Danio rerio: one gene and its partner. The protein of the gene in region 2 purifies or fractionates together with the protein of the main gene of each other region. This does not show direct contact. Links are inferred from orthologs where the notes say so. Each region holds a gene or a part of one and is shown on either strand. Other genes may lie near its edges.

Region 1 (4,308 bases), on a different chromosome or scaffold from region 2:
TTGCAGTGAACTCCATTAAGTTCCATCCCACAGAGCAGATGGCGCTTACAGGTATACACAAAAACTTTTTAATGGTTTGCTTTTTTTTACACAATGTCTTATATTTCTGTGTCTTGTTTATTAATATATGTTGGTGAAAAACGAATCAATATGTATTTTTATTAAAATGATCAATTGACAATAACAATTTCCACAGTATAGAATATATAATCCAGCAACTGGATTGTAAAGAACGCCTATTTCATTTATATCACAGATCAGTAATATTCGTCTGTCTATCTGTAAATGGTTAAAATTGAAGGAGAAGAATATGCTTAAATCTAATGAAATAAAAATGTCGGATTTTTAATTCAGAAAAATCTCAATTGTCTGAATTTTAAATTAAGATTTTTAAAATATTTTTAAAAATAAATGCAACTTAATTTCTATAATTTCGCTGGTTTAAATCCAAGCTCAGTTGCCATTTCTGCGTGGAGTTTGCATGTTCTCCCCGTGTTCTTCAGGTGCTCTGGTGTTCCCCACAGTCCAAACTAGAGATCTGCGCAGCACTAAATTTTGAATCCCGCTCCCGCCAGGTTTTAGCCCTAACCCGACCGCTCCCGCTTATATTTAGCATTTGTTGTCCCTCTGCCCAACCCGCCCCGTTTTCTACCCGTTGCGCCCATTTTCGCTAACGGACGAGGGGGAGAACAAAAGCGAAAACCCCCCAGCTATACAGAGTCCAGACAGCCTATAACAAACTATAACACACACACAAGCACCAAGCAAGTGACACACACACAGACAGCATCACGCTCTTTCTCTCATTCACGCATTCACGCATAAACACACACACAGCACAAAGCTCTCTCTTTCATATACACACACACACACACACACACACACACACACACACACACACACACAGCAAGAAACAAGCTAAGCGCAGCATCAGGCTGTCTCATTCACACACATACATACATACGCGTGCTTGCTCGCTCAGGAGTCAGGAGTGATATTGTTAGACCGCGAGCTTCTGTACAAAATTAAACCAGTTACCGACCGCTCCTGCGCTTCTTTCGGAAATTTATCTCCGCACCGCAAGAAATCTAGTCGGCCGTAGTGTACGAGTGTGAATGCGAGTGTATGGGTGTTTCCCAGTACTGGGTTGCGGCTGAAAAGGCATCAGCTGTGTAAAACATGCTGGATAAGTTGGCGGTTCATTCCACTGTGGCGACCCCTAATGAATAAAGGGACTAAGCCGAAGTGAAATAAATGAATAAATAATAATAACAAATGTTATAAAAATATTGTGAAAATGCCTTTGCTGTGTTGAACGGTGCTCGGGATAGATTTAAAAACATATTACAATTTCACAAGAGAGCTTTTAATATTGCCTTCAACTGTGTGTGATTGTCTGCTGATCTCTCATGATGCTGCTAATGAGGAGTTATTTCATGACTGAGGGCTGTACTGCATTAAGACTGAGATGTTTCTCTCTTTCATATAGATTTGTATTTCCCAGATGCTTTTAAATGTGATTTGATCAATGGCTGTGCTTTTTTCTTTTTGCTAATGTTGCCTCTGTGTTTGTTTTGTCTGTTCCTGACAGCGTCCGGGGACCAGACGGCTCACATCTGGCGTTACATGGTACAACTGCCACTTCCACAGCCTCCAGCAGACATCAGCGTGAGTATTAAACACACACGCACACACAAACACCCACAGAGACATGCGTACACACACGCGCATGCAGACGCAGACAGATACACTTAGACGCATATGACACACGTGTACAGACAAACATACACACAAAGGCAGACAGATGCGTACACAAATGCATACAGTACACACAAACGCAGTACACACAAACTAATTAGTTAACAGTAAGTGTAATATTAGTAATAATAAATATACAATTTAGTAATACTAAAATGTTCTGTGTAATAAAACGAAACAGGTAAAAAGTATTGAACACATGAAGGGAGGTGTGGAAATGCATGGAAAGCCCAGACAGCAGCTGAAATCTCTCAGTAGTTCTTCAGTAACCCTCTGCTTTTCCTCAGTGTAAATGAATATCAGCTGCTTCAGTCCAACATCTACATTAGCAGGATGATGGAGATGAAACCAGGGTGGACATTTCAGCAAAACAATGATCCATAACCAAGTAGACTTTCAAATGCTTTCAGAGAAAGAAAATCAAGCTGTAGAATGGCCCAGCCAATCATCTGACCTAAATCCAATACAGAATCTCAGATTTGATAGACGAGACCCACAGAACCATTCATTCATTTTCTTGTCGGCTTAGTCCCTTTATAAATCCGGGGTCGCCACAGCGGAATGAACCGCCAACTTATCCAGCAAGTTTTTACGCAGTGGATGCCCTTCCAGCCGCAACCCATTCCTGGGAAACATCCACACACACTCATACACTACGGAAAATTTAGCCTACCCAATTCACCTGTACCACATATCTTTGGACTGTGGGGGAAACCGGAGCACCCGGAGGAAACCCACACGAACGCAGGCAGAACATGCAAACTCCACACAGAAACGCCTACTGAGCCGAGGCTGGAACCAGCGACCTTCTTGCTGTGAGGCGACAGCACTACCTACTGCGCCACTGCTTCACCCACCCACAGAACCATATGTATAATATTGTGAAGCATCCTATAGAAAATAATATGAATGTAAAAGCGAGATCTGTAAAGGGTGTACTCATTTATCCTGTGCACTGTAAACCCTTTAATTATAGAAAAGTGTTTTATTTTTTATGAAATGTTTGTCAATTTGATCAGTTTTTCTGGTCATAATAACAGCTGGAGATGCTGAAATGGTAATGAAATCAAATTACCTCAAACATTTGCTCTTGTCATTTCCTGTGCGACTCAGGCCTCGCTGGACGATGACGTGGATTTCTCTGATAAAGACGAGGCAGACGGCGACGCTGATGGACCCAATGAATGCCCCACCATCCGCGTGGCCACAACCACCTTGAAGAGCCACCAAGGCGTGGTGATCGCCGCTGATTGGCTGGTGGGAGGAAAGCAGGTGGTCACTGCGTCCTGGGACAGAGCCGCAAACCTGTACGATGTGGAGACCTCGGAGCTGGTGCACACCCTGACAGGTGAACATGAGGAGAAATAAATCAACATTTACTAATGTGTTTAAGGAGAGTTATTATGGATATTTTAATTCATTCATTCATTTTTCTTTGGCTTAGTCCCTTATTTATCAGGGGTCGCCACAGTGGAATGAACCACCAACTATTCCAGCATATGTTTTACACAGTGTATGTCCTTCCAGCTGTAACACCCATACACACTCATACACACATTTTAGTTCACCAATTCCCCTATAGCGTATGTGTTTGAACTGTGGGGGAAACCGGAGCACCCAGAGGAAACCCATGCCAACATGGGGAGAACATGCAAACTTCACACAGAAATTCTAACTGACCCAGCCGGGACTCAAACCAGTGATCTTGCTGTGAGGCGACCACTGAGCCACCAGTTTTTAATATTTGTTGTTTTTTATTTCTTATACTCGTTTCTTTTATTCTTGTTCATGTAAACCACTTTGAATTACCATTGTGTGTGAAATGTGCAATATAAATAAAGTTGCCTTGTTTATTATTTGTTAAACCCTCAACTACAACTCAGTTGTATTGTATCAACCTCTACCCCAGCTCTAACCCTCACCATTACCTGTTTGTGTGTGTTTGCAGGTCACGATCAGGAGTTGACCCACTGCTGCACTCATCCGACTCAGCGTCTGGTGGTCACTTCATCCAGAGACACCACCTTCCGCCTGTGGGACTTCAGAGATCCCTCCATCCACTCAGTCAATGTCTTCCAGGGCCACACCGAGTGAGTCACATCATCTTATTGACCGTCGACATATAAACAACCTGCCAAAATGAACATTTGGTGTCACTTTAAATTACTGTATGCTTGTAAAATATTAATATTAGAGTAAATTAAAGTGCTTTTTATAGAAATAATATGGTATAATATTTTTTAATATGACATAATAATATAATAACAACAACAATAATAAATATTATTATTATATTTTAATAAATATTATATATTTATTAAATAAATACATATTTTTGTATTAGACCATAGATAAAGTTATGAATATTTTTTCAAAATGTTTTCCATAGTCATATTTTAATAACATTTTCAGTTCTTAAAGTGTTATGATTTTATTATTTAAACATACTTTAAAAAAAATGAATGAATTAAGATATTAAAATTACAACGCCAAACACAATGTGATAAAAAATCAATGCATCCTAAAATATTATTTTAAAATTTTGTATAT
Region 2 (4,395 bases):
AAGTGATTTTACGAGAGAAAAGTTAAAGGCCTACAAGTCTTTGGATGCCTACAATTTTGTTCTGTGTGGTCATGTGCAGGAAATAATGTTCTATGATTACCAGACTCAAAACGGTAGTGATAAAAACCGAGGTTCTGCCTAGCCAAAGACAAGGAAAGACGACGGAACTGTACAAGGCCTGGGTAATCACCAACAAGCAAAATAACTGCATTCTGACAGCGAAATCCACCTGTACGGCAGGGTATGTGAATGTACATTTTTACATTTTATTCTAAGCATTCACTGTCCGCAGTTTAATTAACCAAATTTAACTGTTTGTTAAATCATTGCTGCAATCAAAAACGAGTAATGAGTATGATTCAGCATAGAGTGTACTTACTTGATATAACATAAGAACTGCAGAGTCGAGCATTTTTAATTAGGTCCTCACACCATTCAGCTCTCCTGATGGCTGTTTGTCAAAGATGTCTGCAGTTGGCATTAAAAGCTGTGTGGTGTTTGGAGTTTGGGCTTAATTTATTTTTTATTTAATTAATTTAATTTAATATTTAAAATAATTTCATATTTAATTTAGAATTTGGCATCCTACCGCACAACACGACATGTTTGCTATTGCAACTGGTCTTTTTTGCAACCGGAATGCCTGGTTGAACCTGTGTGACGTCATCTGTGACATAAATTGATAATTCCTATATAGTCTTATAATAATGTAATGTTATGTAATAATAATATTACAAAATAAAATATCCATCATTGAGTGGTCCAGCAGTCATATTTATAAAAAAATGAATGCATTATTTTTACTTGCAAATTCATTTTTTTAAAAACACATTTAAAATGTAGAAAAGAAGATTGAGTGATATAACAAACAGCAATATAGATAAAAAATAAATAAGAGTAGAAAGGGTGCATTTCAGGACTTGGGCCGCATGGCTGGAATTGCTTGGGGCCCCAAAAACATGAAATCTACCCCTTGCTGTATGTCTATGGGAAATCCTCATAACAATAAAAAAACTAAATGTTGTGTGCTTGGACTGACAAAATTTGCACTTTATTAGAAGCAACTTGACAAAACAGTCACCATTTTGGTACTGTAAAAAGCATGCACGTGATAGAAGAAGACAAGCTAATCCAGCACAAAATATTTCATAAAATATCATCAAAATGGTCTACTTTTAGAGAAAAAGACAACCCCCCCCCCCCCCCCCCCCCACTCGCTACGGATACTGTTGTATTCTTAATCAAATAGTTGCAACATTTAAACAACAAAAGAGTTTTCTGTCAAAAAACATTATTTTATTTAGCTTTTTCCAAAATGTGACTGACATGTCTGTGACTTTTCCCCACACAGAGCTCAGTTTTGTGTCACACACACACTTGCAACAGTTTGACAGATGTTTGAGCTCAGTCAGTCAGTCAGTCAGTCAGTCACATCTGGACGTTGCATCACAGACGAATGTCCCGGATAAAGAGAACGAAGAGTCTGCTGTTCTGCTGGAGGAAGAAAAACTGGGTAAAGAAACGAATTAAAAAGATATCGCGTCCAATTCAAGACATTGGGTTGTACTTCTCTCATTTAAAGAGATGTGATACTGCTTATATGTGCTGAATTGCTACTTGCGGCGTTCAAGCGATGAGCTTTGAATGTTTATTCCAGCTAATGTGATGGACTTGTAGGCAGGACGCTGGGCGGAAACAGCGGGGAGAACTTGCGTGTGTGTTTCTGCCATGAAGGAGTGGCCCAAAACTTGTGTTCCTCTGTGTTTGTGTAGATGCTTGATGAGGATGAGTGTTGCTGCGTTCGGTTCGTAAGCGGTGGACGCGCAGTAAAAGACGCAAAGCACCGGTAAGTGTTTACGCAGACTGTTGCTGTATAAAACGCTCGAGTTATGGATGTAGTCTGTGATTTGACCTTGCTGTGCATTTCTTAACGCAGCCTACTTGTAGTGTTGAGTCAGTTTTCAGTGTGTGGATGAGGTGTTCAGTTTAAATAGCTATTTTCCTCCACAAAAGCACAAGCAGTGCCAACTTTTGGGGGAAGCAAAGTCTCCCCCACTTCCTGGGTTGCCAGTTTGAGCGTATATTTGTGGCAGGGTTAATAAGGTTGTTTTCTCCTGTAGTTTAGACACACAAGGCAGCTTCTTAAAACAAAATACTGCAAATTCTTATAAAGAACAGTTGACATATCAAGTTCATCCATTCTGATAGCTGCAAGCGAGTTCTTATTGGCTAACGAATCGTTCTTTTGAGCCGAATCTTTAATTGAATCGGCTAAAAATAGAACCGAGCGATTTGTTTTGACGTTCTGGTGTTCAATTCTTAACTTTTGGATAAATTTGTATAAACAAAAGCGTATTCAAATTAATTAAATATATAGGACATTATCAACCACAGTAATCGTTTAACTTGAATTGTTCAACTGACTGTGAAACGACCATTCAAAAGAACCGATTCATAGAGTAACTCGAACTAGTAGGAGCATGTGTTTGTAATTGAAAGGCCATGGGGTCTCCACAGTGAGATGCAATGCAAGTCATATGCTTTGCTCCTTCCTTTTTTTCTTTCATCTTTTTCTCCTTGTGAATTAAAAACCTCATTATTTTGTGCCACCAGTGTCACGAGTTATTTCAAATGCAGTGTCCGCTCAGTTCTTTAAAATGGTTACCTCAGATTAGAATTAGTTGGTATTGGGTTCAATAGGTTAGTTATTGTCAGTTTGTTTGACAGTTGACTGTTTTGTTCATTGGAAACTGTTAAGTGAGCTTTTTTCTTGCATTAAACACTTTTATGAGGCTGTAAATGCTAATGTTAATGTGCAGTTGAGCTCTCGATGTATTTCATGTGGTTTTCTGCAAGTGTGAAAGTGTGACACTTAAGCAATGGTTTTAAAATCACAGAGTGCTACTATTGAAAGCATGAGCTTAGCTGTGCAGTGTTTAGTTTAGTTTAGTCAAATTAGAATGCATACGAGTTCCCTCTCTGCATTAACTTCCCCTCTTTGACAGAAGTACTGTCATCACTTCTACTTCTCTCTTGTCTGGTTAATGTTCTGTCTATTTGACCAGTGATTTGAAGAGAGTCTGAAATCATGTGACCGACAGAATCTGAGATCATCCGTTTGCTACAGAGCTGCAGGCAGCCAGAAGTGTCAACATTATGCTGAGTTTCAGAAAGGAAGTGGACAATACTGCCTACTAAGTGATGGAAAGACAGAATCAGAGACAGCGGGCACATTATGTGCTTGAACACGCTCATATTATGCTAGCTGAGCGAGCTGCTCTTTTGCTTCTGATGTGGTGTTGCAAGCAAACATTGCAAAGTGCAAATGACAGAAATTCTGCTTTACAGTAAGATATGACGCTTTCAAATAAACTACCGTTCGTTTCTCTGTGGGCGGCCCCTTCCTGCCTCATTCTGCATGTGTGATCTAGCAGGTTGTGGTTGAAGGAATCCACCCGTCAGTTCTTACTTGAGGTAATATTATTTGAAAAAAAAGTTGATTTCATGTTCAGGGTCTTTGAGTGCATCTCAAAAATGCACGTTCACATTTTCACTTGCTTTTGTAAGCAAGTGTGCTTGTGTTCTTTAATGAGGGAAAGAATTAAAAACATCAGATAAAGCACATACATATTCAGTTACTGATTTAAAGATGCTGAATGTATGTATATAAGACAAAACACACACACACACTTACCGGCCACTTTATTAGGTATGTTAGGCTTATTAATGCAAATTTCTAATCAGCCAATCACATGGAAGCAACTCAATGCATTTAGGCATGTAGACATAGTCAAGATGATCTGCTGCAGTTCAAACCTCAGAGCATCAGAATGGGGAAGAAAGGTGATTTTGAATGTGGCATGGTTGTTGGTAATCTGAGTATTTCAGAAACTGCTGATCTACTTGGATTTTCATGCACAACCATCTCTAGGGTTTACAGAGAATGGACCAAAAAAAAAAGAAAATATACAGTGAGCGGCAGATCTGTGGGCACAAATGCATTGTTGATGCCAGAGGAGAATGGCCAGACTGGTTCCAGCTGATAGAAAGGCAACAGTAACTCCAATAACGACTCGTTACAACCGAGGTATGCAGAAGAGCATCACTGAACACACAACACATCAAAATTGAGACGGACAAGCTACAGCAGCACAAGACCACATGGGGTGCCACTCCTGTCAGCTAAGAACAGGAAACTGAAGCTACAATTCACACAGGCTCACCAAAATTGGACAATAGAAGAAGAGAAAAACATTGCCTAGTCTGATGAGTCTCGATTTCTGCTGCGACATTTGGATGGCAGAGTCATAATTTGGCGTTAACAACATGAAAGCATGGATCCATCCTTCCTTTTACCAGCATGTCAACGGTTCAGGCTGGTAGTGGTGGTGTAAT

What was found.
Region 1: the proteins of wipf1b (region 2) and nck1b purify together in Homo sapiens (co-immunoprecipitation; 5 studies listed by BioGRID and IntAct, with this or other methods). This does not show direct contact. The link is inferred for Danio rerio from reciprocal best matches to the Homo sapiens genes WIPF1 and NCK1.

The regions. Positions count from the first base shown.
Region 1 is NC_133199.1:3,692,783-3,697,090, forward strand, and holds the start of nck1b (SH2/SH3 adapter protein Nck1), read right to left. Parts: upstream 2,872-4,308; 5' UTR 2,834-2,871; intron 1,669-2,833; coding exon of another isoform or gene 1,592-1,668; intron 52-1,591; coding exon of another isoform or gene 7-51; intron 1-6. Other genes in the region: wdr37 (WD repeat-containing protein 37), read left to right, coding at 7-51, 1,592-1,668, 2,872-3,106, 3,707-3,848. UniProt on the Homo sapiens protein: Adapter protein which associates with tyrosine-phosphorylated growth factor receptors, such as KDR and PDGFRB, or their cellular substrates. Maintains low levels of EIF2S1 phosphorylation by promoting its dephosphorylation by PP1.
Region 2 is NC_133181.1:11,765,462-11,769,856, reverse strand, and holds the start of wipf1b (WAS/WASL-interacting protein family member 1), read left to right. Parts: upstream 1-1,450; 5' UTR 1,451-1,513; intron 1,514-1,760; exon of another isoform or gene 1,761-1,772; 5' UTR 1,773-1,846; intron 1,847-4,395. UniProt on the Homo sapiens protein: Plays a role in the reorganization of the actin cytoskeleton. Contributes with NCK1 and GRB2 in the recruitment and activation of WASL.